4 linked regions of the Tamandua tetradactyla genome follow. The main gene of each other region encodes a partner of the protein of the gene in region 2 in a complex. Links are inferred from orthologs where the notes say so. Each region holds a gene or a part of one and is shown on either strand. Other genes may lie near its edges.

What was found.
Region 1: RBBP7 (region 2) and EED share a complex: the UniProt entries of both Homo sapiens proteins name them as parts of the PRC2/EED-EZH2 complex. The link is inferred for Tamandua tetradactyla from reciprocal best matches to the Homo sapiens genes RBBP7 and EED.
Region 3: RBBP7 (region 2) and CDK2AP2 share a complex: the UniProt entries of both Homo sapiens proteins name them as parts of the nucleosome remodeling and deacetylase (NuRD) repressor complex. The link is inferred for Tamandua tetradactyla from reciprocal best matches to the Homo sapiens genes RBBP7 and CDK2AP2.
Region 4: RBBP7 (region 2) and CHD4 share a complex: the UniProt entries of both Homo sapiens proteins name them as parts of the nucleosome remodeling and deacetylase (NuRD) repressor complex. The link is inferred for Tamandua tetradactyla from reciprocal best matches to the Homo sapiens genes RBBP7 and CHD4.

Annotation. Positions count from the first base shown.
Region 1 is NC_135334.1:58,090,590-58,098,327, forward strand, and holds the start of EED (polycomb protein EED), read right to left. Parts: upstream 3,010-7,738; 5' UTR 2,889-3,009; coding exon of another isoform or gene 2,868-2,888; 5' UTR 2,505-2,867; coding exon 2,391-2,504; intron 1-2,390. UniProt on the Homo sapiens protein: Polycomb group (PcG) protein. Component of the PRC2/EED-EZH2 complex, which methylates 'Lys-9' and 'Lys-27' of histone H3, leading to transcriptional repression of the affected target gene.
Region 2 is NC_135353.1:158,098,059-158,105,520, forward strand, and holds the start of RBBP7 (histone-binding protein RBBP7), read left to right. Parts: upstream 1-4,458; 5' UTR 4,459-4,473; coding exon 4,474-4,640; intron 4,641-7,462. UniProt on the Homo sapiens protein: Core histone-binding subunit that may target chromatin remodeling factors, histone acetyltransferases and histone deacetylases to their histone substrates in a manner that is regulated by nucleosomal DNA.
Region 3 is NC_135335.1:6,905,088-6,912,068, reverse strand, and holds CDK2AP2 (cyclin-dependent kinase 2-associated protein 2), read right to left. Parts: upstream 2,744-6,981; 5' UTR 2,141-2,743; coding exon 2,059-2,140; intron 2,052-2,058; exon of another isoform or gene 1,916-2,051; intron 1,734-1,915; coding exon 1,633-1,733; intron 1,546-1,632; coding exon 1,413-1,545; intron 1,041-1,412; coding exon 973-1,040; 3' UTR 518-972; downstream 1-517. UniProt on the Homo sapiens protein: Acts as a component of the histone deacetylase NuRD complex which participates in the remodeling of chromatin.
Region 4 is NC_135333.1:68,890,032-68,898,030, forward strand, and holds the start of CHD4 (chromodomain-helicase-DNA-binding protein 4), read right to left. Parts: upstream 3,008-7,999; 5' UTR 2,882-3,007; intron 2,301-2,881; exon of another isoform or gene 2,089-2,300; intron 2,036-2,088; 5' UTR 1,958-2,035; coding exon 1,858-1,957; intron 1,642-1,857; exon of another isoform or gene 105-1,641; coding exon of another isoform or gene 92-104; intron 1-91. UniProt on the Homo sapiens protein: ATP-dependent chromatin-remodeling factor that binds and distorts nucleosomal DNA. Acts as a component of the histone deacetylase NuRD complex which participates in the remodeling of chromatin.

The sequences.
Region 1 (7,738 bases), on a different chromosome or scaffold from region 2:
AAGTTCTTTTTAATCCAGAAATAAAAGTAACAAGCTCCAAGGACTGGAATGAAGAGGGTCACAAATGTTAGACCTAAATATACAAGACTCGGAAACAAACAAGGAGAAAAGAAAAAAAAAAATTTTAAGTAACACTCAACACTCAAATTTTTCAGAAATTTCAAATCCAAGATCCACAAACTGACAAGGACCAAAATATCTTTCTAACTGAAAGAATTAACTAACAAAAAGAATCTTTCCCATCACTTCACTGAGAAATTAGGTCACAATATCATGCTATATAATATGCCTCAGTGTTTATGATGTGGAATTTAGGAACTAAATGTGTAAGGTGCAAAAATTCCTAAAACTAGTCAAACTGACAAAATGAAAAATTTACACGACCCTCATACAACACCTTAAAAAATTCTTTAAAATATTCAGATACTGCGATACATTATGAGAAGAGGGCTCAAGGGCTGTGATTCTTGAGTAGCCCCGATTTTTGAAGACGATTTTATGACGATATACCTTTTACAACGTGACTGTGTGATTGTGTCTGATGCTCCTTTTATCCAGGGCATGGACAAATGAGTAAAAAAATATGGATAAAAAATAAATAGTGGGGAGTTCCAATTGGGTAGACTGAAACACTACTGGTCAATGAGGGGAGGAGTAAGGGGTATGGGATGTATGAGTTTTTTCTTTTTTTCTTTCTGGAGTGATGCAAATATTCTAAAATGATCATGGTGATGAATACACAACTATATCATTGTATTGTGAGTCAATGATTGTACACAAAGTAGGAATTGTATTTGTGAAGATTTGCCAATAAAAATATTAAAAAAAAAAAAGAAGAGGACTCAAGGGCCCACATTTTGTAGTAATTTGAGTGGACTATCTTAGAAATTTGCTGACTTCACTTTGGGATATAAATTTAAAACATGAAACATTTAGATACTAACATTTGGAAACTCAGAGAAATAGGAATTGCTATAAAATAGCTATCAAATTTTTGTTTTCCCACTTTCATGAAATTTATAGTTGGAAAGCAAGCTATAAGACTGAGGGAAGGGGGTGTAAGGGAAGTTCAGTGGTAGAATTCTCGCCTGCCATGCAGAAGACCTGGGTTCGAATCAGGCCCATGCACGTCCCAAAACAAACACAAACAAGCAAACAACAAACAAAAATTCAACAAACTGTGCTGCATTAACGGGATACTCACATGGAAAAAGAATGAAATGTGACCCCCTGCCATGCAGCTACAAAAAAAAAAAAGATTGTCCAACCAGTCCATATTTCCTCTAAGTCCTTTGGTGTGCAAGCCAAAATAATATTATCCTTTCTAAGGAATTCTAATTAAATCTGAAACATCCACATCCTCTAGTTATTACCTGGAAATTCTAAGTATACGCTACTTAAGCATCATTCACTCCTACACTTTTTTATACAGTCATCCTTCTTGTTTGGCGCACACACACAAAACAGAATTTCAGTTTTAGTATTTCCAGACTGTTTTTCACTCTTCAATCTACATTTATTAATGTCAATTTAGTTCCTACTGGCTAGTCACCTCAACTTAAGTTTAGTTAACTGCTGGGACTAAGTTACCAAAATCCATCTCAGAACATTAAAAAAAAGCTAATTCCAAAAACCTTACACTCTGCTAGAGCCAGGAGCCCATATAATGCATATATGCTTTTATCACCATTGCCTATTATCCTTCCGGTCCTCCTCATCTTAAGATAAGGACTTTCAAAGGAGAGCCTTCCTTTCTCATTCCTTCCCAAAGGTCGTTCCTCCTCCAAGTCAGACCAAAATTCATAAACCCTGCTCCTCTGGCAAAGACATCGACACTCAACACGCTCTCCACCAGGTTTGCTCCAGGACAGAAAGAGGTACAAAACGTCCTTAAAAAGAGTCACCCAAACCCCAATAAGTCGAAGATTTACAGTTCCCATCCTGGAGATTCTATAAGGGCCTAAAGAGTGAAAGTGACTCCAAACTCCTTTAGAAGAGGCCCTAAAAGACTCTCATCCCCCTTCCTAATCTCTAACATGCCTTTTAAACTACAGGAATCTCAGATTCGCACTCTCCCCAAGTGTTTCGAAGGCCCAAACATTCTCCATCACAGGCAACAAGAGCTCAGAACAGACCCCTCGGAACCGCTCACCATCATCCAAATACTCAAACTACTCCCCTTCGCAAAGTTTCTGCTTGCCCTCGATCCCAGCTCAAAACCCCCATAGAGACAAGTTCGATTTTCTCCTCCACGCCCGCGTTTTCCGGAGCAAAGAGTGACACCTCTCCCTCCCCCAACAGAAACCCGCAAGCCCCCGGACGTAGAGTTTAAGAAGAATTTTAAACTTTCATTCCAGAGTCCCGTCCAGACTGCTTGGGGTTGTACTCACATTCTCGTCTCCAGAGAGGTCAGGGTTGCTGTTCTCGTCGCTGCTCAGCTTCTGCTTCTTGGCGGCAGGCATGTCTGTTCCCGCCGGCGCTGTCGACACTTCCCTCTCGGACATATTCCTCCGCCTCCCTCCAGTTTCCTGCCGCCTCGAGCGTGGCCTCCGCCACACCGCCGTCAAGCAAGCCCGGCCGGAGCTTGCCGCAAAGTTGCCACTGCCGCCGCCACCTCCACCGCTCCCCCCACTGTCGCAAACTGCGCCCAGCCGCCGAGGCGGGCGTGCGTGCGACCCCGCCACACTGCTGAAAAAGGGGCGCGCGTGCGCGCCCTCCCGCGCGGCTTCCTGGCTCCTTCCCTTTCCCTACTCCCGTTTTGCCCTTTTGCCGCCGCCCTCCCGGCAGCTTGCTTAGAGAGGTATGATCCGTTGGCTTTCCAGGGCAGTAGTACTTCGTCCGTCTCCTTTCCCCACTACCACCTCGTAATGGAGAGGTGGGGCTCAGAGGTATGCTCCCTCACCCTCTTCCTCCTACCAAAGCCGTTTCAGCCGCAATTGGCCCAAATCTTCGATCACCGACCCGCTGCAGGGTCTCGAAACTCTGTGGAATGGACTAGACCACAAATGTGCCTGGGAACGGGGGGAGATATAAGAAGTCGCCTCTTGCTTTAGCGGTGTATATCAAGTGTCATTAATCTCGAACTCGGAGGATAACACTTTCAGGTAGATTACGTAACTGTTCATAACGTAATTTTTTACTGAATGTAGAAATTCCAAAACCATAAACTGCTTCCCACATCTCCCCCCCTTAGCAAATGGAAATTACTCACTAGAGACGCGCCTGCGCGAGAGTGTATTCTCGCGCTGTCTTGCTCCGACCCGCCTACTCCAAGCGCCTCCTCTTTTCGAAATCTTGTTTGTTGACCCAGGTAGTTTTCCACCGCTTTTCCATAATCCGGGATGGATTTCAAAGCGTTACCAAATTACAGTCAATGATTGCTTCGTAAATTCTTGATGAATATTTATTCTGATGAATACTTATTGCGATGGACAATTAACCTCACCTAGTTAGTGCCAATATCAGGTAAGGTTTAAGTAGGACTATCCTGAAATCATAATATGATTCTAGACCCTAATGAGTTAAGCCGAAGGACTTTTTTTTTTACGGCTAAATGGTTGTCAGGGTCGATCAAATCAGTGGTCGTTTTCAACTATGTGATTTAGACGTCGCACAATATTTTATTGGCACATCAGCTACAATAAGGAGAAGGCTACAAAACTTATAATTCACCAAAATATTTGTCTCTGTTAGTGATACCATATCTGGGCTCTTGACATGTACCAAATACTTTGAGGAGCCTTATGGATTTGTAAGATGAGTTATTAAGCCGTGTAACTGAAAAAGCAGCAGGAGAAAAACAATGAGAAAGACGGCAAGAAATAAAATTTATCCCCACTTCCTTCCCCATCTCCCCCCCCCCCCTTTTTTTAGAACACAGTTGTGATTATCTTTTGGGCTTTCAATTTCCTCATCTATAAAAATGAGGTGGGAAGGAGCCTAACACTTCTGGAGGACCTACCTGTTGTTAAATACATTTTCTTCTTTAGACCTCGTTACATCACCCAGTGGATAACCAGTCTAGAACGCGGTGTCCATAAAATTCTAGTATATTTGAATTACTTTCACGTGATCCCTTAATAGAATATCAGTTTCATTATCTGCAGATTGCAAACCATTCTCCTTTTGGAGATAAAAAGAAAAATCTTGTTTGAGAATGAGAAAAGCAAAGTATAGCAAAGACGGGGCAGAATAAAAGGTTTTGTAGTGAACTTTCAGAAAAAATAAGGAAGCTACTTTAAAGTTCAGGTCTTTCTAACAAGAATAATTGCAGTTATTCGCTGAACCCTTTAATTTGCTAGGTACTGCAAAGCACTCCTCAGTTGGTGAGGAGAAACGAGACTGTTATGAAGTCAGCCCACTGAGGAAATAAGATGTTCTTTGGTGTGACATTTTCATTAGCTGAGGCTTACACTCCTCTGTTGAAAAGGCTGTTTGTGAAATACAGCTATATAAGTAAAGGATAAATTACCAAAGAATTTTAAATCCAATTACTTTGTCTAGAATCTGTGGGAGCTGGGAAGTGGGAATCAACTTCTAGTCATAAACTACAAAAAGTGCTGAACATTTGGATAAGGGTACATGTGAAAAGAAACTGCCTTTCAGCATGCTTATTATATATAACAAAGCAAGAAGATTTAAAAAGAGTCCATTAAAACTTGGAGGGATGTTAAAAATCTTTTTCTGGTGATTCATAGGTGATAAATGGAAATTAGTTACTATTATTACTGATTTAAGATACGTAAAATATCACGGGTATTCTATGTATAGCACTACCTTTATGGTATTAATTTAATAAATATGAAGTCTAATTACCTGTTAAAAATAATAAATTTCTCAACACAGAATTCTCCTACTGTGGGGGATGTCAGGAACCATTTCAATTGGAGAGGACTTAACCACCTGCAATTTATGAATGAGGAAACTGAGGCTTAGAGTGATCAGTTTGCCTGAAGACACCCAGCTCTTCAAATGGCAAAGCTAGGGATCAAGTCTGATAGACTCCAAAGCCAAAGTACTTTTGCTAGCCCAGTGGTATTTTTGTGCTATTTTTAAAAAGTCACCCTTTTGCTGTGTACTTTGAAATTTATTGCATTTTTGTGTGTGTATATGTTACTTTTTTGCGATAAAAAAATTTAAAAGCTACCCTTATAGAAATAGACCAGAGTACTCACGGTTTGGCAAACAGACTGTGGCTTTGATGAAAGAGAAAAGGGTGCTTTTTCTACCAGGTTGACACAGCCCAGCACAAACTGATTTGAGTGCCACTTGTCACCTCATCTGGGGACCCTTTTTTGGTTGCATACACAGTAGCCCTACAAAAACTTCCGTGGACTCACATGATAAAAGTTAGGGAGAGTTTCCTTAAAGAACAAAAGAGTGAGAGCTGACAAAAGAATGGGAGTTAACCAGGTGAAACAGAGGAGGAAAAACATTCCAGGGCAGTAATATAAAGCACATGCAAAAAGGCTCTGGGGCTGGGTGGGGCCACAGCGTCTTTGGAATACTAAAAGTTCAGTGCTATTGAAGAACTGAAAAAATGACAGGAATGTAGTACAGGGAGAAGCTGCAGAAGTAGGTAGGGGGTCAAATCATGGAAGGCTTGTAGACCATTTTAAGATCATTATGTTAGTATATATCTCCTGCTGATAAGATTTATATAGACGGAATTAGAATGGCATTACTTTATTTTAAAATTTTATTTATTTTATATACAGTGAAATGCATGGACTCTTAAGTATATGGTTCAGTGACTTTCAATGCAGACATGAGCCCATGCAATCCGCATCCCGTCAAAATATAGATAGAACCTTCCAACACCTCAGAAAGTTACCTCATACTTCTTCTTAGTCAGATCCTTAACCTCCACTCCCCAGGCAACCACTATTCTGATTTCTTTCACTATATATGTAAGTTTTGCCTATTCTAGGACTTGATATAAATGGAAAAATTCAGTATGTGCTCTTTTGAGTTTGGCTTCTTGTGCTCAACATAATGTTCTTGAGATTTATAAAATGGTATTAACTATTAAAGATAAATACTGTCTAGATCAATGATTCTCAAACTATAACAGGCATAGAAACATGGCTAGTTCATTGGACCCCCATCCCCAGAGACTCTTGATACATAGGTTGGGAAGGGGCACCTGACTGCATTTCTGACAAGCTCACTGGTGATGCCTATGCTGCTGATCTGTGAGAGCCAATAGACGGTTTAGAGGATAAAATCAGAAATGTCTTAGTAACAGTTTCTAGGAATAAATCAAAACATCTATCTATTCCTTTCGTGAACATTTTTGAAGTGCCTGTTACATACTACACACTTTCCAAGTGCTGGGGATACAAAGGTAGATGAAACGTTATGCCTTCCTTCTAGTAACTTTGTCTGATTAGGGAAGATAGAGATAAATCAAATAGTCTTTCTAGTTCTCTTAGAAGTCTGTTCACTAGAAAATAGACAGAATCCTAAAAGAGAAAAAGTAATTTCGCTTTCCAAAGTAGACAAACCATCAAGAATAAAAGCAAGACATTAGGGCCAAGATTGTGGCTTAGCAAGGTGTGGGATTTAGTTCGTCCTCCAGAGCAGCTAATAAATAGCCAGGAGCAGTACACAACAACTGCTGGGGCCATGTCAGTGACTGGACACACAGTGTACCCCAGTCTGAACCAGCTGGACCAGGTACAAGCACCCCCCCCCCAGAACCGTAAGTTCCCCAAGCCTCGGTGGGTTGCACCCCTCCCCCACAGGCTGCTTCCCAGAGGGGTAAGGAAAGGGACTTTACCAACAGCAGGGGCTGAGTACAACCAAACTCCAACTGTGGAGTTAACAAATTCTGACTACTAAAAATAGGCCCCCAGCTCAACTGAACCTTGAGTAAAAGTGGAGGTCACTGGTTTTTGCCCTGGTGCAGAGGGGTCATGGCTGACAGAAAAAGAAAAACAAAAAACACGTTTTTGGATTTGAAAAGGTCTGGGCCCTGAAGGAGAGGAGGGGGCACATAGGACCTGGAGATACACACAGCAATATATCAACTTTAGCACTTGATTGGCAAACCCAAGGAATGGGGTCCTGCTCTGAAAAAGATTTTTCTCTTTCGTTTTGGTGGCTGTGTTTCTATGACTTGACTGCTCTTTGGATATAGCTGCAAACCTTCTCGGGCTCCACTGCCCCAGGCATAGGCAGATTAAACTTTTTTTGAGTGTTTGTCTGGAGCCTGTGCCTCCCCCAGGAGAGGAGTGAGGGTCAGCTTAGGTGGAATTCCTCCCTCAAGGAGTTCAGACCCCAGCGTCTGGAAAAGCAAAGCAATTAAAACCAGACTACAACCTCTCCTCTGTCTCCACCATGCCCCCAGCAACTTCAACTGTCCACCGAAGTTAAAGGTACCACATCACCTTATGCTGTTGGGACCCGCAGGCAGACAAGCACCACATACTGGGCAGGATAGGAAAAATGGAGAGCCCAGAGGTTTCATAGGAAAGCCTTTCAATCTGCTGGGTCTCACCCTCAGGGAAAACTGATGCATGTGTCTCTCTCCTCCTGACGGGAGACCAGTGTGGTCTGGGAAAATCTGGCTGGAGTCTGTAACACCTAAGTAGACCCTCCTGAGGGGAAGAAAAAGGCACCATACAGGCAGGGCAAGAAAAAAGAAAGCAAGAACTGAAAAACTCTAATCTGTTAAACAAAACCTAAGTTAGAGGTCCAGAATAAGCCAAACTGAATGTCAAAGAACAGATAGACC
Region 2 (7,462 bases):
CCTGCTCTTTCTGTAATGTGCTTTGCTTTTATACTAAAACAAATAATAAAGAAACAAGATCTCTGTCTTATTCATCCCCTTTATCTCCATATCCAGCACATTTCTTGGAACTCCAAAAATATTTTCTGGAAGGCTAAGATTTTCACTCTAAACTAGTGAGATGGAGTTGTTAATAAACACAGCATTACACTACAGCTATGCATGGGTATAACTTCTCTCTTCTTTTAGTGAACGGTTCATTCTATTAATACGTGATCAATTCTCAAAAATTTTGCTTTCTTACTATAAGACTGATCAGATTCAAACTCCAATCCAATATCCACTAGCAATGTGACAACAAAGATCTGCCCTCAAATCTACATTCTAGTGAGAAAGCCATGATCAAACATTTGTCAGATGGTATGACAAAACAAGTGCTAGGGAAAAATAATAGACTGAAGGGGACAGAAGATGACTTCAGGTGGGGGGTACATGTGGGGGATCAGAGATGGCATAAGATTTCAAAATATACTAGTGCAGTAATTTTTGAAAATCTCAAGTTGTGACTAAGTGCGATCATGAAATCAATTTAGAGGATGAGCTGCATAGTTTTAAAAAAATGAAATATAAAGATACAGAGCCCATCACATATATTAAAGGTAAGCACTGTTTTGTGCTTGTTCCAGTTAACTCACACAGGTACTAGTCTGTAAAGCACTGCCTGGCATGGAGAAAGGCGTGATTAACTTCTGAACTTTGAAGGAAAGAGTCTTAGAGAAGGGTACCTCTCTCGGTTAGGATAGTCACACCTTGTGCCTGCACCTGTTCATGTCTTACTCAATTACATAACGGACTTAGCTGGGTGCAACAGAGACAAAAAGACAATGCAGTAAAAGAGGGAAAAAATATCAGGATCAGAGCTAAGAGGTAGGGGAGAAAGGCAAAACAAAACTAAACAGTTAAGCAGTTCAAGAGAGAGAACTGTTTTCACATTTTTCCAGGCAAAAAGTACCCCATAGGAAAAACACCAAAAAAAAAAAAAAAAGCGAGAAATAGGATTGACAGATTTAACAACAAAAACAAAAATCACCAAAATCCAAAGCTAATCATATATGCTATACATGATAAGTGCATGACACTCGTAAATATTTTTAGAAACTTCCCTAATATCTGTTCCATACTCCCTGCTCCTATTCTCCTGCTATCAAGATTTTAAAGCCATACAGTTTGGAAAGGTTTCTCTTTTTTTCAGCCCTTTAAACATTTAATACATTTTGAAAATCATGCCTACCCATCAGGAATGACTAAATTATATTAATGAGAGACTGGAAATCGTCTGCCAAGCCTTCCCTGGCCCTGCAAAGGACGGGGTTCCCACTGAAGCAGGGCTGTGATACAGGACTGTTCTAGAACAAAACCAGCAAACTACAGTTCGCTGCCTCGTTTTCCTATGGTCCATGAGCTAAGAATGACTTTTACATACTTTTTAATGGTCGGGAAAACAAACCAAAAGAAGGAGAATATGTTGTGGCACATGAAAATTATATAAGGGTGCACCAGCGGTTCAGTGGTAGAATGCTCCTGCCATACGGGAAACCAGATTCAATTTCCAACCGATGCATGCCAAAAAAGGTTATATGAGATTCACACTTTAAAATATGGTGAAAATGGCAAATTTTATATTATATACACGTGATACCACAATGTAATTTTTAATTACATTTAATTCAAATTTCGGAGTCTATAAAGCTTTATTGGAACACAGCCAGGTTCATCCATATTGTCAAAGGCTGCTTCAATGTTAAAAGGGCGGCAGAGTTGAACAGTCAACCGCAAGGCCTAAAATATTTACTACCTGGCCCTTTATAAAAAAAAAGTTTGCAGATCGTGTTCCTAGAATACAAGGGCCGTACTGCTTAATCACCCTTCCAATCCTCTTCCCTCTCTAGCCACCACTCCAGCTTTAGTCAAGAACAAGATTGCTGTGCCTGCCATGGAGGGAGGGCGTTATAATAATGAATTGTATCGAAACTTGAGACATAAGACTATAACTTTCTATATAAGGCCATATGAGTGGTTCTGCCACCAATTAGAGTAACTTCTGGGTTCGTTTCCCGATCAGAAAAGTGTGCATCACAGCAGCAGCTGCACCATTTCGTTTGAACATCACCATGGTCACTTGCGTGCAGGCACTTGGAAACGTATCAAGGCAACAAGTGTTCCGAGGGTGTTTTTGCAAGGCGGAGCGTCTCTCCGAGTCTGGATATAGACTGCGCTGCCCTCTGCAAGTCTGCACCTCCGTCGCTCCCCGCCCGCTCCCCTCTACGTCCAGCCCTCCTTTCAGTCTCTCACTTCCCCTTTCGGCCCCGCAGCCCGCTGGCTCCACACCCACCTCCCTCCCCCTTTCCTCAGAGCCTACCAAGTTGCCCGGGAGCACCGGGTTTAGGTAAAACCGGCCCGGGTCAGCCCGGCCCAGCACTGTCCAGTCAGGATGGTGGGTTGCCCTGGGACCCCTGCAGGTGGTAAGAATGACTCAGCAGGGCCCAGGCCTGGGCCCGAGACGCGAACGACCCAGCCCGGGGCCCAAGTCCCTTGCACTACGAAAAGGCCGCAAACCATCATTTGTTCTGGGCCCAAATACCCCAACAAACGGAAATTTAATTCGAGTCCGTTTCCGACCGCTGTGGCACCAGAGTCAGGCTGTCTAGGCCCCCACAGGCCGCACGTTTAAATTAACAGGGCGGGCACGGCGACTACTACAGCCAGAAAATGCCTGGGGCCTCTTCAAAAGGTCCCCTTCGACTCCCACAAACCGCACCCCACCCCCACCCCGGGCCGACCTCGCCCGCCAGAGGGGGCGGCGCGCCGGCCCCGGGAAAGGCCAGCGTCTGCTTGGAGGAGAACCTTTAGGGGTGCACTCAATCGCATGCCCGGGACTACCAGGGAAACGCACTAATTTCTTGAGAATTGAAAACAATTCCTAAAACTCTGGCCCACAGTCCCCGGCTTGCTCCCGCCCCCAAAGATTTCGCCCGGCTAGGCGGCGGCAGCCTCCCTGCCCCCTCTCCCTTCCCCCCACCACCTCGTTTCAGACAACCACGCCCCGCAGCCCCAGGGCTCACCGCCCCGGGGCCGCCAGCCCCCGCGCAGCTGGGCACGCCGCGCCTCCATTCGCCCCGCCCCCGCGCGTCCCCATCCACCCCCGCGGCCGGCCCTGGGAGCGCCAGGCGAGACCTTGCGCCTGCGCGTCGCCAACTTCCTGCCGCGGACCTCCCCGCCCACCCCCAGAGTCCCGCCCCCGAAAGCCGCGTGAAACCCGCCCGCCTCACGCCATTGGGCGAGGCGCAGGAGCCGTTGGCTCCCAGGCCCGCCTCCCCACCGCCTCTCACTTTTCCCAGGCGGATGCGCCTGCGCCCAGCAGCCTGGGCGGGCTGAGAGGCGCGGGTTGAAAAGTCTCGTTCCAAGTTTGGAGAGAGAGAAGCGCAGCACAGACCTCGGTACCCGCGAGAGGGGAGGAGGCAGGAAAGAAGGACGCGGCATCTGGGGGAGCACGCAGGCAGCAACGGAGCTCAGGCTTCGGCAGCTAGAAGTGCGTGACGCTGCTGGGAAAGGCAGGAGCGCCTGCGGTTGGGCTGCTCTCGACTAGCGAGGGGAGTCCGAGGCGGCGGCGAGGGGCGAACGACCCGACGCAAGATGGCGAGTAAAGAGAGTAAGAGGCCCTGCGGGGCGGCGCGCGCCGGGGCTGCGGGGGGCGGCGGGCGCGCGAGGCCGCGGCACGCGCCGGCGAAAGGCGCGAATTGGCGTGCGGAGCAGGGGGCGGGGCCGGGCGCCAGGTTGGGCGCGCGCCTCGAGGGGCCTGCGCGGGACGCGGCCGCGGCGCGGAGGGTTCCGAGCACTTCCGGAGCCGGGCGCGGGGCCCAGGATTGGGCCCCCGGCGGCTGCGCTCTCTTGGGCGCTCCCGGCATTGGGGCGGAGGCGGCCGCCACCGGGCAGCGGGGACGGCGGTTCTCTCCGCACGCGCGCGTCCACCGCCTTAGGGTCGCGGCCTCGGCCGCGGGGCCTCTGGAGCCGCTTGGCCTATGGCTGCCCGCGCGGGTATCGTGGGGCCTCTCCTGGTGGGGGATGAAGGGAGGGGGCTGATGGTTTTCTGCTACGTGTAGATCTGTCTCCGAGTGGGTTATAGGGATCCTCTAGATCCACACAATCCATCTCCTTAGAGCAGGTGCGAACAGCTGTAAAGGACAAAACAATTCCTAAAATCAGAGGCGGTTTGGCGTCCCTGTTACTATCCTATTCTGTTTGCGCAGGAGATATTGAGCTCAAAGTGCAAAAAATAAGCTTTCTGGCATTAATATTCTGTCCACGTTCTGGGGGAGCAGTTTTTTGCCTCTAAAGTAAAGATAAAGGGATAGATGAGAGGTGTGGCCATCTCGAGGTGACCTCTCCAGTACCTGTGTACAGTTTCTGACTTCGGTCTCTCAGCCACTTAATCGTATGAGCTTTCTCCAAATTTCAGTGTTCGAAGATACTGTGGAGGAGCGTGTCATCAACGAAGAATATAAAATCTGGAAGAAGAATACACCATTTCTATATGACCTGGTTATGACCCATGCTCTTCAGTGGCCGAGTCTTACCGTACAGTGGCTTCCTGAAGTGACTAAGTAAGGGTTTCTGGCAACTTTTATTTTGCAGAAATTGAAGTGTCGACCTGAATTTCTTAGCGTTCTATACCTAGAATGTAAGCTCGTAATCATTAGCCCTTGGATGAGGTGGTAGGTGGTTTTTATTTTTAAAGTTGAAGTGACTTATGGGATGAATTCTGATGTATACGCGTGGCATTAAAGGGGGAGAAAGGCTCCTTTGTGAGAATAATGATGTTTTTAGGAAACACTGAATATATTGAATGGTCTTGGGCTGAGATATAGAGCAGCATCTCTCGGGGCCCTGGACTACTGCATTTCTTTCAAACTTTATTGAAAGCATGCACACAGAAGATGCACAAATTGTAAATGTAATTTTTTTTGATGAATTTTTACAAAAAGAACACGCCCATGTAGCTGGCACTCAGGATAAACAGTTTTGATTGGCAAAGGGAAAAAGTTTGGCAACGGTTTCCTGAAGAAAGGCTGTTATTGTCTTAAAATATAGAATATACTTTGAGATTGCTGTTAGTTTTCATTAGAGTGTTCTTTTTAGCTAGTCCTAAAATTTCTCTGGTAATAATTGCTGACATTTATTGAATGCTTAGAACAGGATCTGGCACATCTGAGAAGTTTTACGTCCTGTTATTTGGTTTAATCCTCACAAGGGTACTACAGTGCATAGGTGCTTTTATTATCCTGTTTTGCTGATGAGGAAACTGAGGCTGAAAGGTTAAAAAACATGCCCAGGATCACCTACCTGATAAGAAGTGGGCTTAAGAACACAGACCTGATGGCTCCAGAGTTCAGACAACCTCTGCACTAGCCTGCCTACCTTTCTCATGTGCTTGCCCTTTTCCTAGCAGAAACTTGACTGTAGACTTTAAAGGTGTATTAATTTTGGGTATCATGAGTACATAATTTAATGGGGGTTAAATCAAATAATCTATAAAGTGAATTTTTGTGATAAGTTATAAAAATAATTTTAAAGTTGTTTTATGTTCTATTTTATAAATTATTACTTATTTTATAAAATTATAGTTTTGTGAAAGATTAACTTATTTTGCAATGGCCAGATTCTCCGTGTGCAAACGTTTGATTCCACACAGATAGGGTCTCCGTTGGTGTTCCTAAATGTCTGAGTGTAAATGTACAGATACAGGAAAGGTAGCCAAGAACTAGTAATGAAGACTTCCGAACACGGGCATTTTGTAACTACCTTTGATAGATTTCTAAAATAGATTGAGCGTCATATGCTTAAGGGTATTTAGATTCTGGTTTGAAGCATCTTGTGCATTTGACTCTGTCTTCCTGTTAAGCAAATTCAAAACTTTTCCACAACTTAACGTACCTTACCTTGCATCTTTTTGACCTGTAATATTGTAGAAAAAGCCGGGGGCTTTCAGTTTAGAGACCTGGGTTTGAAGATTGCCCCTATTTGTGACCTAGGGCGAGTTCAGACTCTATCTCCACATAGTCTGGACTGTAAATGGAGATGCTGGTAGTATTGACCGCCTACACTTGAGGGAATTAAATAAGATCATCCATATTGAAGTCCTGGTGCATAGTAAGCACCCAGTAAACCTGTTGTGGTAGCTGATGCTGATTTTCCCATTCCTTCCCCTTTGTTAGACAGGGTGGAAATAGTTCTGTGTTTCTCCGTTTGAATTTCTGTGGTAGTGACTAACTAAAATCCATTTTAAGCATTGCCAGCAATGATGTTTTGCTTATAGGTTTTAAAGATAAACCTATATGTTCCTCTTGGGTTGGACAGATTACTTTTATATTCACACTTAAGAACTTACCAGAAAATGCTTTAACTAAATTACATATTCTGTGGTGTTCTTCACATACAAAGAGGTTGTGGGATCTGGTTGTGGGAAGTGCAGTGGCTCTGGGAATGCAAGAAAATGCCAGCCAGCCTGCTTGCATTCTTGGATGTTGAAGACTGCTCTGTGGTGCTTTTAGCAGGGTTCTGTCTGGGATACGAAGGGAATATGATTGTGTTTTATCACTAACAAAACGGTAAAAATGTTGGCTATGTTTCTTACTGCCTGAGACCTTTAGCCCTCTCGTAGGTCTTTCTTCTTCTGCCTACATACAACATGTTTTCTATTACTTGAACTTTCTGAGTTGGTATCCTTAAATTCATTTAGGTAATTGTCCACATAGTTGATTTGGCTTTTTAAAGGTTTTATTTTTTAAAGTTCATAGATCATTATTTCATATCTTGTTAAGTAACTTCTTAATAAATGTATTGAGACTTAACTTAGTTTCTACCTAAAGAGCTTTTGCAGTCTATCAAAGTACGCAAGTATATAGAGTGAAGAATAAATCTCCCTTCCACGTCCCCTATTTTCCCAGCTCCCTTCCCCAGGGCAGGGACACTCATTTTCAATTTCTTAGCCATCTTGCCAGCATATAGAAGTGCGTATTTATCTCTTTTCCACCTTTTTTTGTGGTAACAGGTTGTTCATGTGACTTTTCATTAAGAGTGTATATTGGAGCCTTTTTCCTATCAGCATGCTTAAATAGGCTTCATTCTTTTCAAGGGCTTCATAGAATTCTATATGTCATCAGTTCCTTAGTGATGGGTATTTAGGTTGTTTTCAGTCTTTTGTGACTGTGAACAGTGCTGCTGAGGATAATCTTGTAATAAGACACATTTCTGTGATTGTGAGGTAAATTTCCTAGCAGTAGAGTGACTAGATCAAAGGATTCTGACACTGAAGAAGGGGACAGGCTCTTTTACCATTAGTACTTCTGCAGCCTTTAGGTACATCCAGTGTTAGAGGAAAAGAGTTTCCTTTTGATTATTTTAGAAAGTAGGCTTGTGTTTTGAT
Region 3 (6,981 bases), on a different chromosome or scaffold from region 2:
CCCAGGAAGGCGGCGCTGGGGAAAGGAAGCAGGAATACTTTCCACTCCCACCTCCCACGCTGAAGAGTCAAAGATGGATTCAGGGTAGTTGAGGACATTTTGGCACTAAGGCCTGTGGAGGAGAGGCTTTGGTGAACTGGCATTTCCACCCAGGGGCAGGACACTCCAGGGGCAGGACGCTCCAGGCCCAGGCTGGCAGGCAGTGCCCTCCAGCTGTGGAGGCAGCCAAGGCCCTGTGCTGCCCCCTGGCGGCACAGTGCGAAGGCATAGGCAGGGCTCTCCGTTCCTGGAACTCAAATCTGTCCCCTAAGAGTAGACAGACAAGGCTGAGGGTCTGAGGCCTGGGACCAGGCCCCACCCAGGGAGCAATGGGCAGCAGAGGCAAGGCCAAGTTTAGCCAGCCTCAGCCTCAACCCACCCCCCCACCCCTGCACTTCCTCTCAACCCCAGGTCTCCTCTTTCCCTGCTGTCAGGCTCCCCTAGGCTTAGAAGAACTGGACCCAGAAAGGCTCAGAGCTGAGAGAACAACTCCAAATCACTTTTTATTTATACAAAAAGGGCTTATTTAGCAAAAGACACATTGAGAAAAGTCGCTATAGCCCAGGAGTCAAGGTAGGGAGTCGACAGGCCTTCTTAAGGCCTGCTGTGGGGAGAAGGGGGGCAGGGACAACGTGGTTCTCAGTGCTGGGGAAGTGGGGGGGCCCCAGGAAGGGGAAAGCTCCCGCTGGATCAACCTGGTTAGCAGGTCATGGGTGGGCCTCACAAGTGACCTCACTGCTAACTAGTCCAGGGGCCCCAGCTAGTGCTGCTGACTGGAGTGGGAGCTGCCTCCTGCCTCCCAGAGGGCTCCCACCACGGGACACGGGACAGGAAGCCCAGGATGGGAAGTGCAACTCAGGGTGAAGGCCAGGAAGAAGCAGGTGCTCTGCGGTGGCCAGGAAAGGTCCAGACGCCGAGACGAGGTGCTTCTTGTTACGTGCGGGCGTTCCGCTCTGTCTCAGCCAGGCACTCTCTGACTAGGGCCCGGGCATGGATGATGCCTGGGGTGGGGGCGGGGAAGTAACACCAGGCCCCGGAGACGCTCCAATTGCACCCCCACCCTCCAGAGGAAGACTGGCTCCCCACCCTCTGCCCTTCAGTAAGAGGGATTGAAGTCTATAACGACAAGCTGGATGAGATTAGAGGTTTGGCCAATCCTCAAATTCACCCTGGTAAAATAGGAGTTCTCAGGTCCCTCCCTCGAAATGGACTTGATTTCAGTTCAATTCCATTCATTTCAGAATGCCTCTCTGGGTAATGAGATGGGTGCTGAGCTTGGATTGGGTGGCCTCGGTAGCCCTTCCTGTCCTAAGGAAGGAGGCTTGCCCCGTGTCCTCTCCTGGGCAGGGCAGGGTGGGCCCCGCCTCGCTTACCTCTCTTCAGGCGCTCCATGGCGCTCTTGCTGCCAGCATAGGTGGGTCGGATCTCTTTGCCCATCTCCTCTATGACCGACAGCAGATCCGTGTAGGTGCTCTGGGAGCCCTGGGCACCGGGGGGCTTCATCGCCTGAGCCAAAAGGGAACAAGGCAGTGAGATCCAACCAGGGTGGGCTTCCAGCCCCCCACCCCCAGGCCCACCCTCGGCCGCACTCACCTGCACGTAGCCCATGGAGGGCGGTCCAAAGTCGTTAAACAGTGGTCTGAAGGGGGCTGCGGCTCCCGGGACCGAGCCCGACGGCGACGGAACACTGCCGGCTGCAACACGCGCGAGTAAGAGGTCAGAGGTCAGCGGTCAGCGCGGGGCGGGGACGCCTCCTCCCAGCGTTTCAAGCTCCCGACCGGGCTCGCCCGAATCCCTCCAAGGGGACAACTTCATTCCAGGCCGCTCAACTTCAGGGACAAACCCCTCCCCCTGCGCTCCACCTACAAGCCCTTACGTGACCACGCCTACTTCACAGGCCGGGAAACTGAGGCTCGCGGGAAGGTAGGCGGCGGCGCCAGCATGGCAGAACGCAGGCCGTCTTGTCTTCGAGACCTCGACCGGCCGGGGAGGCGAGCAGGGGTGGTGCTGGGTCCTCACCTGTAGGGACCGGGGTGCCGGGCCCGGGGGTGCTGGAACCGGGGGTGCTGCTGGGGGCGGGGGCGATGGGCTTGTAGGACATCCCAAACTCCTGGGTGCTGGCGGACGCCGGCCGGCGGCTCCTCCGGGGTTGGCTGCCCGGCCGCTCGGCCGCGCTCTGATTGGCAAGTGGGCTGCACGCCCCGGGTAAATAGAGCTCGGGCCGGAAGGGCGGGCGGGCGCGACCGCTCCCTCACTCCCGATTGGCGCGCCAAGATGTCACTCGAGCCTCCTTATTGGCCGAGACCGGCCCCCACAGGTCGCAACCGCTGCCGATTGGCCGCCGCCTTCCGGACCTCGCACCTGTCTGCCTCGGATTGGGTAGTGAGCGGCGCCCTCCGCAACTGGCGAGTTCGCGGCCCGGGCCAGCGCGCTCTCAATCCGATTAGTCCCACGGCCCCAGGGGCGGGGCCTCGGGAACCGGGACCCGGGTCTGGGCCGCCGCGGTTCGCGTCGAGTGGCTCCTCCCGGGCGCGGGCGCTGTCCGCCCGCCTCTCCCGCGCCGCTTCGCACGTCAACCTCACGCCTCCGGGTCTCCGGCCGAGACTCGGTCCACCTGGGGCCGCTATCGCCGCCGCCGAGCGCGCCTCTCCTCTCCGGATGCCGAAGGACGCAGGGCTTTGACGTCCCGGCTCCTCCGCCCCACCCCATGCGCTTTTACGTCACCTTTCGCCGGTTGAACACCCGTTCCCCAATCTGCGCATGCGCTCGCTTGCTGCCGCCCTTTGTTTCCATGGCAACGAGTCCAGCACCAACGCCGCGACCCGCGGCTCTTCCTGGGATTGGCTCGTCCGTAGGTGGTCGGTGTAAGGACGACCCGTAGACCCCGCGACCCGCCCCCCAGCCCCCACGCCTCTGCCGCAGATAATGACAGCAGCAGTCACAGGTAACCCCTCCTTAATCACTTTCTGCGTGCCAGGCTCTGAACCAGAGGAGTGACTGACAGGACCGAGTGCAGTCACTGCCTGGTTCGAATCTCAGCACCTTCCCTACTAGCAGTTTCCCTTTGACCAAGTCGCTCATCTCCTGTGCCTGTCGGTGAAATGGGACGGGGGTGGGGGAGTCATGAAAACTACCTCTCGGAGTTATTGTGTGGGTTCAATGAATATTTGTATTGCTTTTACGATTTTATTCTTCTTGTTCCTTTATCCCTATCCCATTTAAGCGCCTCAAAACATTTTCATTACCTTACGCGACCCCACTCAAATCTCATCTATCACAAACCCCAAGTCTCAGACCCTCCCACCCCCCTTCCTGTTTTTCCCAGTCTCCTTCCACCCAAAACCTGTCTGGCCTGGTGTACATGTCACGCCCCTAGGTCTGTAGGTTTTCCCTCATCTCCGGGACATGTGTTCATGCACTCATCCAACAAACATTTCCTGAATCCCTTCCCTATCCGGACCTTGCACTGGACTCTGAGGATACAGAGACGAACCAGCTGCAGACTCTGTCCTCAAGGAGCTCCTAGTCTTAAGAGGAGCAGATAGGAAAGCAGAGGCACAGACAACACTAAGGGAGTGGCCACGGTGAAGCCCAGACCTTGGAGCATTGGAGCCAAGGGGAAGGGGCCTACCTGGTGACCTCACAGAAGCTTTCCCAGAGGATGTGGCATTTGAGCTAAGACCCCAAGGTGGGTGGTGGGAGCAGAGAAGGAGGGGGGTGCTCCAGGTAGAGGGCCTGGCACATGGAAAGGATTGAGAGTTTGGAAGCACAAGTGATTGGACAAGTCATTTCTTTTTGCTGTGGGGATAATTGGGAAGCAAGGGCAGGGCTGTAATGATAGAGGAATCTCAGGTGGCAAACATGTAAGGAAGTTGGAATTTAATCTGTACCCAATGTTTTTCTAACTTCAGTCCTTTGTGAAATATTTTTTAAATGCCGGTTTATTGAAATATAGTCACACAACATAGATACCATCCTAAGTGTACAGTCACTGGTTAACACTGCATTCATCCGCATAAGCAAATTTAGAACATTTTCTTTACTACAGAAAATAAAAAGAAAACCCTAATCCTCCCATACTCTGTATCATCCCATATTATTGACCCATAGTGTTGGTGTAGTACATTTGTCAATGTTGATGAAAGAGTATTAAAATATTACAGTTAACTATAGTCCGAAGTTTGCAGCAGGTGCATTTTCCCCATATAACCGTCTATTATTCATTGTGTTGAACATCTGTTCTAGTCTTTGTGAAACATTTTCAAGTCTCATCATCTACTTAATATTTCCTTTGTATCAATTCACTTTTTAAAAAAATTTAAAAGGAAAAGGAATCATATCAGTTTAGTTATGAGCTCAGTGTACTTCATAGTTTTCTAATTACAATGCAGTTCTGACTTAACTATCCGAAGTCAGATGAGACTTCACAGCCCAAGAGCACAATCTTCCCCAAGGTGGCAATTCAGACACCAGCCACATGTTCAGGGGTTCCAGGGACCCCTGCACTTGGGCCAACTGGCTACAAATTCAGGGGTTCTGACAACAGGTTCTACCTTTTGTTGGAAGGACTGACAGAACTCAGGAAAATGCTACAATTACAATTTTATTATAGTGGAAAAGATACAAATAAGAGACACATAGGATAAAGTCTGGGAGGTCGCCAGATGCCAAAGCGCTCACGTCCTCTCCCTGTGGAGTCAGGACACATCACTCGCCTTGCACAACAGAGTCTTGTCAGGCAGGGAAGCTCACTTGAGCTTCACTGGCCAGAGTTTTTTTCAGAGTTTCATTACTTAGGTTAAGTAAAATTAAATGGCCGCCTGCATTGGGTGTTGCCAGGAGGGGACCCTTTCCAAGAAAGGATTTTCAGAGATAAAACAATTGACCTGCAGGGGCTTTCCGAGAAAATGGAATGAGGAAAGGTATCTTGCAGGATTGCAGGTAAGCAACACCTGGTGATAAACCAGTTTCTGTCCAGTAGAGAGAATTTATCAGAATGTACAGGCATACCATACTAATCCATGACTATCTGCTCCCCACTTTTGTAAGACCCCCCCATATAAAATGCTAACAATGTCAGCCAATCAGAACGTCTCACTTGCTTCCACCTGTGCCCTATATAAGCTTCCCCTTTCCACTCCCTCCTTACACTTTTGGTTTGGTGCTGCCTGATTCGCTAATCCTTTGTTACCCAAATAAGGTTTAATAAGGTTTTCTAATTGCCTCTGTGTACTTTGACACTTTAAGGCATGATTGATGGAATCAAGGTTCAGGTGGGTGAATTTGGTCTCCAGCTGCCGCCCTCTAACCTGCAGAGGTCTGGCTCAAAGCCCAATCCTCTAATCACCTCGGTGACCCCCGTAATAAAGCCGCAGGTGCGCCTGGCCCCACCTTGAGTCATCTTGTTAATGTATGCTCGGAGGTGTAGGCTGGGGCCCAGCAGGAATAGCAAATGACAGTCCTATTAGGGGAAATCCCAAAGAGTTAGTGGGTATCTCCCAGGGACTAATTACAAAGACTAGCCAAGTTCTTCTGTAATTCATATTCAAACTAAGTATCTGACTATAGAAATAAAAAGTGTTGATCATGTATCACCCAAGAGCCTCCCCAGCCTGCCAGTGGCACAGAGGCTGTGCTCTGAAGGAGTTCTGCAGGGATAGGGGGAGGGGGCCACTGAGGGGCCAGTAGCTCTGCCTCTTCTCCCAAAGCCTAGGCTTTCCCGTTTTCTCCACTGCCGGTGTCTGGCAGGAGGGACATGCCAGGAGGTGACTGCAGGGCTGAACCTTGCCCTCAAGCAGTTTTCCAAATCCTTCTTCCTTGGGCCATAGCAGAAGGAGCACAGAGTTCCCTGAGGAGGTCAGAGATGACAATTTTGGTAGGGACACTCCTACCCTGGGGGGAAGATAGCACAGACCTCTGTGGCGTGGTCTTGGAGGAACTTTTCAGGGAGTCCCCTCTCCACTCAGACCCCAGGCTCCTAGCTCACCCTCTGCAATTTGGAGCCTTGCAGCATTATAGCCTCCAAACCAGACACTGAAAACAAGCCCCCAGGCTCAGTCCAGCCAGCAGATGAGTTTGTTGCCTTACCTTGTGACTATAAAACTCAACATTGTATTTCTGTACAGTTTTTTTGGTTTTATTATGTTTGAAAAATCTTGTAATAAAATGAGGAAAAATAAGTTGATGAAGCAGTGAGATACCATGATACCTTAAGAATGGTTAAAATCCATAAAACATAATACCAACTCTTGGTGAGTTTGCAGAGCCACAGGAACTCTCATTTGTTGCTGGTGGGAACGCAAAGTGGTGCAGCTACTCTGGAAGACAACTTGGCAGCTTCTTACAAAACTAAGCATAATCTTATCATATGATCCAGCAATTGTATGATTTGAAAGCTTATGTCCCCGTGATAATCTGCATGCAAAAGTTTATACCGGCTTTATTCATGATCACCAAAAACTGGAAGAACCAAGATTTCCTCCAATAGGTGAATAAATAAACTGTGTTGCATCCATTCAGTGAAATACTACTCAGTTTGGTGGTAATGGTAACACACCCTGTGAATGTGATTAACAGCACTGAAATATGTGATTTGAAAGGGGAGATGTTAAACTTCATATATGTGACAATGAAAATTAAAAAAAAAGAATCCATGGACTGACACTACCCGAACAGTGAACCGTATGTGAAAGCATGGACTACAGTGAATACTACAATTATAAAAATGTTCTAGCATCAGTTATAACAACTGCTCCACACCAATACAAGATGTTAACAGGGTGGTGTATAGGAATCCTATATATATATTTTTTTTTGCATAGGCAGGCACCAGGAATCAAACCTAGATTTCTGGGATGGCAGATGAAAATTCTGACACTGAGCCACTGTCACACCGTCCATAGGAATCCTGTATTTTATACACTATTGTTCTATAAATGCATA
Region 4 (7,999 bases), on a different chromosome or scaffold from region 2:
CCCCAACCCGTCCCACTCAGCCCAGGATCAGGCCAGGCACAAGAAAGCCCCTCCCATTCCCTTGGGAATGGAACACCAGCCTGGATCTCACCAGAAAGAATCATTTTCTTAAGGGCTTCTCCCCAGCAATCCCCATGTCACCCCCTGAATCAGCTACATCTCGGTTCTTCTTCTTCGCCACCTCCGTAAAAGCTGTAAGTAGAGACAAGGGCAAACCCATGGAGGCAAAGGGGCCACCCTTACATTCCACATGCGACCCCAAAACTTGTCAGGCAGACAATATGCTGATGTGGCAAGTGGCAAACTGGCTGAGATATAGACGAAGATTTGGGAAAGGGGCAGGAATGGGGTGTGGCAAGTGGAAAAACTGGGTCATACTACAGCTTGGGGCAGAGTTCACGCTGCACAGCTCCCAGTCAACACTGGGCTGCCCCACACCAAGTGACCAATGGGAGGCCAAGAGGTAGAAGCAACAATGGCTCAATAACATTATTAATTCTCATGCCCCTCACAGAAAGGACAAGCTCTCCTACCACCACAACCACTCTACCTTGGGCAACAGCACAGAAAGTTACCACCCTACCCAACATAATGATAAGACTCAAGCCTATGAGACTCAAGCCTAAGTTTTCTATCTCAACAACTGAAGTCTCAGAAACATGCAAAGAAGACACCATGGCTGGTCCCTCGCTTTAGTGACCTCTGGCTGAGATGAAGACTTCCAACTTAGAAAATGCCAAATGTGGAAGCATGTCTCCCAAATCACCTCAACTTCCGGCTGGAGCTAAGACAGAAAACAGAAGTGAAAGACATTAGATGGGAAATATAAACAGGATCGGCAGGCTCCAGAATGAGGAGAAAAAATATAAGCAGAGAGGCTGAAGAAATGGCATGTAGCAAAAACAAGCTAGAAAAAAGGTCAAGGACCAGTAGGTAACTTAGCTAGGAGTTCTGAAGAAAGGAAGACAAGAGAGATACCCACTTAGGAGCATGAGATCAATCATCATTTAAGGATAGACAAGGTTATAACCATTCGAGTTAGGCCAATCCAAGGAGCCACCCCAAAACACAGATAACACAACCCCCAACACACCTACATAAACACTGCAAAACACCCCAACCACCCCAAACCTCAGGCTACTTACACAGTGGCAGACACCCCGAGGAACAAAGCCAGAATTATGTCCACTTGCCAGAGGAGGAGGGGTGCCCAGGGTGTCGCCTCCCTTCTTCTGCCCCACCTATTTTGCTCTTAGGGCTATTATATCATCCCCTAGCCCCCATCTCCGCTCAAAACATTCCAGCAATCTGCCTGGCTATAAGCACTCTAGATCCCGGCTGAGGAGCGCAATTCAAACTTCACCGTTGAAACAGTACAGAAAGCCAGTGACTGATCAGAAGCTAAAAATCAAATAGAGAGTAACCAGCACTCTCTCCTTCCTTTCCACAGTAGCAACCATAGGATCCTACTAGCACAGATACACACATGCCCCAATCTAACAGCTTCCAGGGGTCCCGGCTACCTGCATTCCTCCAAGGATCCCCACATGTAATCATGCCTGCCAGTCTGCAGCGCTCTCTCCATGGGGAACTGCATAGCATTCCTCAAGACCAGTGCAGCAAGCAGGCATCCACGCAGTCCAAGGTGCCCAGGAGGCACATGGCTTCCACCATCCCAGCCCCCCACCCCCCACCCCCCACCCCACAAGAGCTCTGCAGAAGGGAACCGCTTCCTTCCAAGGCCCTCCACCTCAGACTCTGCACAGAAAGACCAGAAACTCAGCACCGCTTCACCAGAGTCAGCAGGGAGGACCCAAAAGCCTCCTTCCCATCCTGGACCCTTGGGGATGATGTTACCTGGGTGGGGTGGGGGCAGGCTGTTGTTCAAAAGTGCATCCATATCCTCCTCTTCACTGCCCGCTGAGCAGGGGGACGGGGAGCCCAGGCCCGACGCCATCCCCTTCCGTTCCTGGCCAGGGAATTGGCCCAGCTGCTCCTGCCTGCGGCCTGGGGCCCTCGACACTGGCCCGAGTCACTGTGCGGGGGAGGGGGGAAAGAAAGAGAGACAGTCAGTGACGCGCACTGTCCCCCTCCCCCACACCCACCCGCTCTTTCCGCCCACCAGCTACAGCAGCACCCCCACCCCAACACCCGAACCACTCAGGCTGAACTTAGTTCCACACTCCTCCTCGGGGGCAGCCCGGAAGCCAGCTCCCCAACAGGAGCCCCCAGATGAGAGGGAGCGACGCCCCCGAAGGCAGGCTGGTGCTGGCGTGGGGAAGGGAGAAACAGGGCTGGACCGGGCAGGGTGTGACGGGGTGGGGGTGGGGGTTGGGGGCGTCCGAGTGGCCGCGGCCGGAGGAGGCGGGCGGCGAGGCGCTCGGGGACACAAGGTCACTTGGGTGGGGGGGGCGCTTTCCTGCTCCCGGGGAGGGGCCAGTCCCCAGACAGGGCAGCTCTCCAAAGGCTGTCCTCTGGGACAACTCAGGTTCTCCTCAGGAGCCGCGGGGACAAGGGGGCGTGGAAGCTCGGGCGCTCCGGGGGTGCTGGAGTCAGGGACGTGGGGGCAAGAGAGCCCCCAGCGGGAAGGGGGCCGGGCCACGTGTCCCGGGGGGCAAGTGAGCAGAGGGCGAGGGGACCGGCGCCGGGCATTGTGGAGGACCAAGCCCGGGGATGAGGGTGCGGGAGCGAGACTTGGAGCCGGCTGCGGCGGGAGGAGGCTGGGCACCCTGCAGGGAAGGGAAAGGCAGGGTCGGCTCCCCCGGACAGGGGGCGGTCCACGGGTCTGGGGGCGCCTGAGGATAGAGCGGGTGAAGGGACGACCCTCGGGGCTTGCCGGGCTGCGAGGCGCGTCTCTCTAAGAACCCCGCGTTCTCCTCACCCCGGAGCCGCTGCAGGTCGCGTAGGGTCCGGCCCGGTGTCACTCCCGCTCCAGCTCCTCCTTGCCGCGGCCGAAGGGGGGAAAATGGCTCCGGCTCCGGCGTCGCCTCTTAAAGGGCCCGAAACACCGGCCGGGAAATCCCACCGCACAGGCCCCGCCCCCCCGCGGACAGCCCATAATAACCTCAACCAACTCCAACCCCCCCTCCACTACCGCTACCCTCCTCCCTAGGTCTCCCGGGCAACCCCCGCCCCCTCGTCGCTCAGGCAACCATTGGCCACGCCCCCTTCGAGCGCGCGCGCGCGTGTCACCCGGGCAACCGCCCACCTCTTGGCCATCCCATAATACACACGGACACCCACCCCCGACCCCCACACACACACATTACACACACACTCCACACATATATATGCCAGGGCTGCTGACATCCCATAATATTGCAGACCATTTACAACTAACCCTCTCCCCCCCAGACATCCCATAATAGCCATCCTTCTGCCAACTTCTTCACTCTTCACCCTAATACTAACATCCCATAATAATCGTCACCTCTCCCTCCCCGTGGCCATCCCATAATAAGCACCCCTCCCAGCACTGGAGCCTTACATCCCATAATACTCATACCCATCCCCCACAGACATCCCATAATAACCACTCTTCATCCACCCCCAGTTTGATATCCCATAATAGTCAGAAATTCACCCCCCTACACACACTACAACAACGGACACTGGGCCTCCTCCCACACATATCCCATAATAATCAGTCTCCCACTTTTTCTACTGACATCCCATAATAACCAACCCCCTAGAGCTGCCCTAGGTCCCTGCCGGCTAGGGTCTAGATAGATCCTTTCAACACCATCCCCATCCTTCATGCTCTCACTCTAGCTCCACAGCTTATAACATCCACTCCTCCCCTATAAAAAGTTCTATCCCCTGATGATCAACAGCCCTACCGCCACCGGGCAGGTGGGCATCTAATCACCTTTCCCCTAACACTGGAAAGATTTCCCATAATTTTATTCCCCCACTCATACCCTGACATCCCATAATAATTGCAAGCAAGGTGCCCTGGGTCAACCAGTGGGTACCAAAATACTCCCAGCACTACTCAACATCACTTTCCACAATGCTTCATCTCCACCCCACCACTCCTATACCCTTCTGCCAGGCATCCCATAATATTCATGTTCATCCCTCCCCATCTCCTGAAGAAGCTGTCTGTTCTAACACCTAGAGTACAGAGGGCAAAGCAGATTACCCACACTGCCCTGTCCCCGCCCAAAGTTGTACACACTTTCAGCTCTTTCTGGGCCAAATCAGTACCCTAGCATAAATCCTCTTAATGTCTAGAACCCTAGTTTTTTGCTTCCTGTTATTTCCAGACAGACACTAGAGATCTGAGAGCCAGCATAGGGCCCCACCCAATCCCACTAAAATCCAGGTATACTCCATATTCATCTCCTGCCCTTAAACGTTGAGTAAAACTGACAAAATACCATGCTTGCCAGATGAACCATTACATAAAGTTTAATTCACAACATGGCATCCTATAATAAGTGCAAAATCACATCCAAAGACTATTTTTCAACATGCCAGCAATGTCATTGTCTTCCCATCATGATGTGAACGAAGACCAAGAGCTAGGACCTGCTCTCCTTCTACTTACTACTTACTACTATTTGTGTTCATTCAACAGATGTTGACAGAGCACAGAGCTCAGCACAAAGGGGGATGCAAAGAAGGCAGTTGATGCCTCCCTTTAAGACGCATTACCAAACAAGCAAACTGTGACACAAGATAGAAATGTTTTGGTGTCAAGGAAGAACGACTGAGTGCTATTTCCCAATTTCCCATTACAGAGAGTAAAACACATCCCAACTCGTCTCAGGACAGATGCTATCTTAGTGGAGGTTCTTGGGGGTCCTTCTAGAGTCAGGAAGATATTGAAAAATATTACCATGTAGATGAATGGCCAAAATAATCTCCTAACTATTCCCTACACACTGAGAGATTTTGATAGGAAGGCAATGCTTCTCCATTTACCACTCCTAATACAAAATTCTATAATATCATCGCGGGTTTTCTTCTTGAGAGACTCATCAATATTATCAACCATTACCTTCATTCTTGAACACCAAATTCTGCTTACCCAGTAAGTCTCATATTTTTCAACCACTTTCACATTTGATATTCTGAAGTCTCACAATACCTCCAATTGTCCCTGCCCCAATCTTCTTGAGGCCCCATTCTCCACCTAAAGACCTTAGTTGTATAATGTTCACCGTACCTACAAACATCCCAGGATGCCTTCCTCAGTCAGTTATACTACAAGGTAGCCTCCCAACATATTCCATTTTCTTCCTTACCTGCCCCTACCCTCTAGCCACCCTGGGGCCCCAGCCCTGGAGAGTCAAAAGAGCTGTTTTAAAACCTTTTGGCCCTCGGAGACTCTGAACCCATAAGCCTGTCACTTTCCCCTCCTCCCAAGCCCCAGAGATGTAAGACCTGAGCGAGAACCAATGTTTCAGCACCACTGTCTTGGGGTACCAGCCCCTTCCCTTAAGCCAGAGATAGTGTCTTCCTGGACTCCCATTTGTCTTTTTCACACAGATCATAACTTATATAGGGAGGACAGTCTGAAGAGAAACTAGAATTCCCTCCTAGGAGGGTTCCTTCCCAACCAGAAGTAAATGGGATGACTCTCCCTCCATCTCTTCATTGCCCTTATTTCCCTAGAGAAAGGGCATTACCAGATGATTTTCCCCTCCTTTGGAAACTTAAGGACTGGGAAAACTGGCAAGTAGAGATGAGTTGAGGAGAGGTGAGAGCTTGTTTCCAGAATTTACAATCCTTTTGCTTCCAAGCAGAGCACCAGTGCTGCTGCTAAGTCTTCCCACCTGCTCCTGCCTATTTTGTATAACCACCAGCATTCCGTGTTTCACTCTCTTCTCACCTTAGGACTGGAGTTTTCAACATCAAAGACCTCAAGTCTTGGCACTCACTACCACCTTTGTAGTTCCTATATTCTTTTTCTGACATTTGCTCCAACTCCCTGGACACTCTGTTACCATACCTATTGTAGCATGCTTCCACTGCATGCAAGGCTACATAGAATCTCTCTCATTAAATTCTCAACATCAAGATTAATCCCCATTCATTTTTCTAAACTGTTCCCCATGCTTATACCAGACACTAAGAATGAATTTTGCACTCCTCACTAGGGGGAAAAGGGGCATCTCCCATAAAATGGCTAAATATCAGTTTACCTCTCTTCAAGGAAGTTTCTCCTTTGCATTTAGAGCTGCCAGATACCTATTTTTGCCCTCCTCTCTCCCTGTTCCTCTAAGGGATCCAGCCTGTTTCTGGACCTCAGCTTCCCTTCTGTAATATCTCCATCTACCCAATACCCTTTTCCATATATATATATACCACTTTACCACAGTGATTCACAATAGAAATCAGAGTTTTCGAAGTGGGGACTCACAGCCTCTTGCCCATGATTAGAAATATTGTTCCCATTTACCCACTGTACTCCCTCTACCCCATCCCTGCAGGTACTACCTACTTATTCTCTCCCTTCCCTTACTTCCCATTTCCCCAAAACCACCACAAGGAGAAGGCTAAAATCTCTTCCTCTCCTAGCAAGGGCTAGGATATATGTTTGTGTGTTGCTTTTGTGGTCTTCATGCCTCTATGCCTCCCCCTCCCTCCCCTGGCCCCATACTACCCTCCCAGATAAATTATAAATAAACCACCAGCTTGATTGGCCCACAGAGACCAAGGGTGGGATAATCTCCTGATTAATGCACCCAGGGGGACAGCCTCTCTAGCCCGTTACCTTAGAGTTCTGTTTGCATCCCATGGTACAGAAGAACCTAGAATAACACTCCGAGTGAGTTGCCCATGGAGTTTTCAGCATATGCTCTAGATTTCCTCCCCCTACACCTCTGATTTGCGTGAGACCAGGAAACTCTGTTCATGAGACGGAGGCCTAAGGGGCACAGTGTTGGGCTCCATGAAGAAAGGGGGATTGGGAAGACAACATCAGGAAGAAAAGCCACAGGGACAGTAAGCTCTGATGGCTAGACAGGATACAGGTCGTGTGGGGCTTGGGAGTGACAAGCCAGGCATCTATCCTTGTCCTTGGGATGTCAACCCAGCCTCTTTTCTTTGGATCTGAATGCATGGTAGCATAGTATCTCATGCACAAGCTTCCACCTGAGCAATGGTCCCAAGTCTCAAACCCAGGAAGGAAAGAGGAAGGGTGTCCTTGGGTACTGTGGTCACCAGGTGCCCTTTGGTGTGCCACACAGCCAGAACCCAGGACTCAACAACCCTGTTGCCCATGAGCTGTGAAAGGACCCAGGTGTCCAGAGTTCAAATTCAGCTAGCTCCAGCGAGCCTACCCTAGTGGCCCCTCCAAACAGCTGTCACCAAAGAAACCTCTCCAGCCAGTTACTCCTGCCAGGCCTCAGGTCTGCCTCCAGGGCTCACCCCACCCTCCCCAGCTTCTTCCCTCCCTCTTCCTTCCTTTCCTTCCCCCTCCCCCGCCTCCCAGAGCTTCACCTACCCAGGGCAGCCCCACCCAGCGGTACAGGGCACATCCCATAATATTTCTTCTCCTTGCTAGGCCCCCCCCCAACAAAAAAGAGAGAGAGAGAGAGAGAGAGAGAGAGAGAGAGAGAGAGAGAAGCGGCCATCCCATAATAGCCACCCACAGGAGACATTCCGCGGTGACCGCCCCCTCCCTGCAGAGCTGCCGGGAGCAGCCATCCCATAATAGCTGGCCGCCTGTTTTACTGGTTATGGCTGTGGAGGGAGCTGGAGAGGAAATGAAGGGGAGGGGGGAGGGGAGGAGAATCAAGGGCCCCCCCTTTGTGGAAGGGAGGGGGAAAGAGAGTGGCATGAGGGGACAGGGAGCAAAGGGGACGCTGTGCAGGTGGGAGGTGCTATCTACTGGCCACCACAACCCTGCTTTCTCCCCTTTCCCCAGAGACCACCTTGCCCCCTCAGCACCCTAGAAGTGGATGCTAGTTATGGGAGATGGTTAGGATGGACTGAGGTGTCCAATGTATGTGCATGTCTTTGTATGTGCAGATGGATTTCAGGTGTT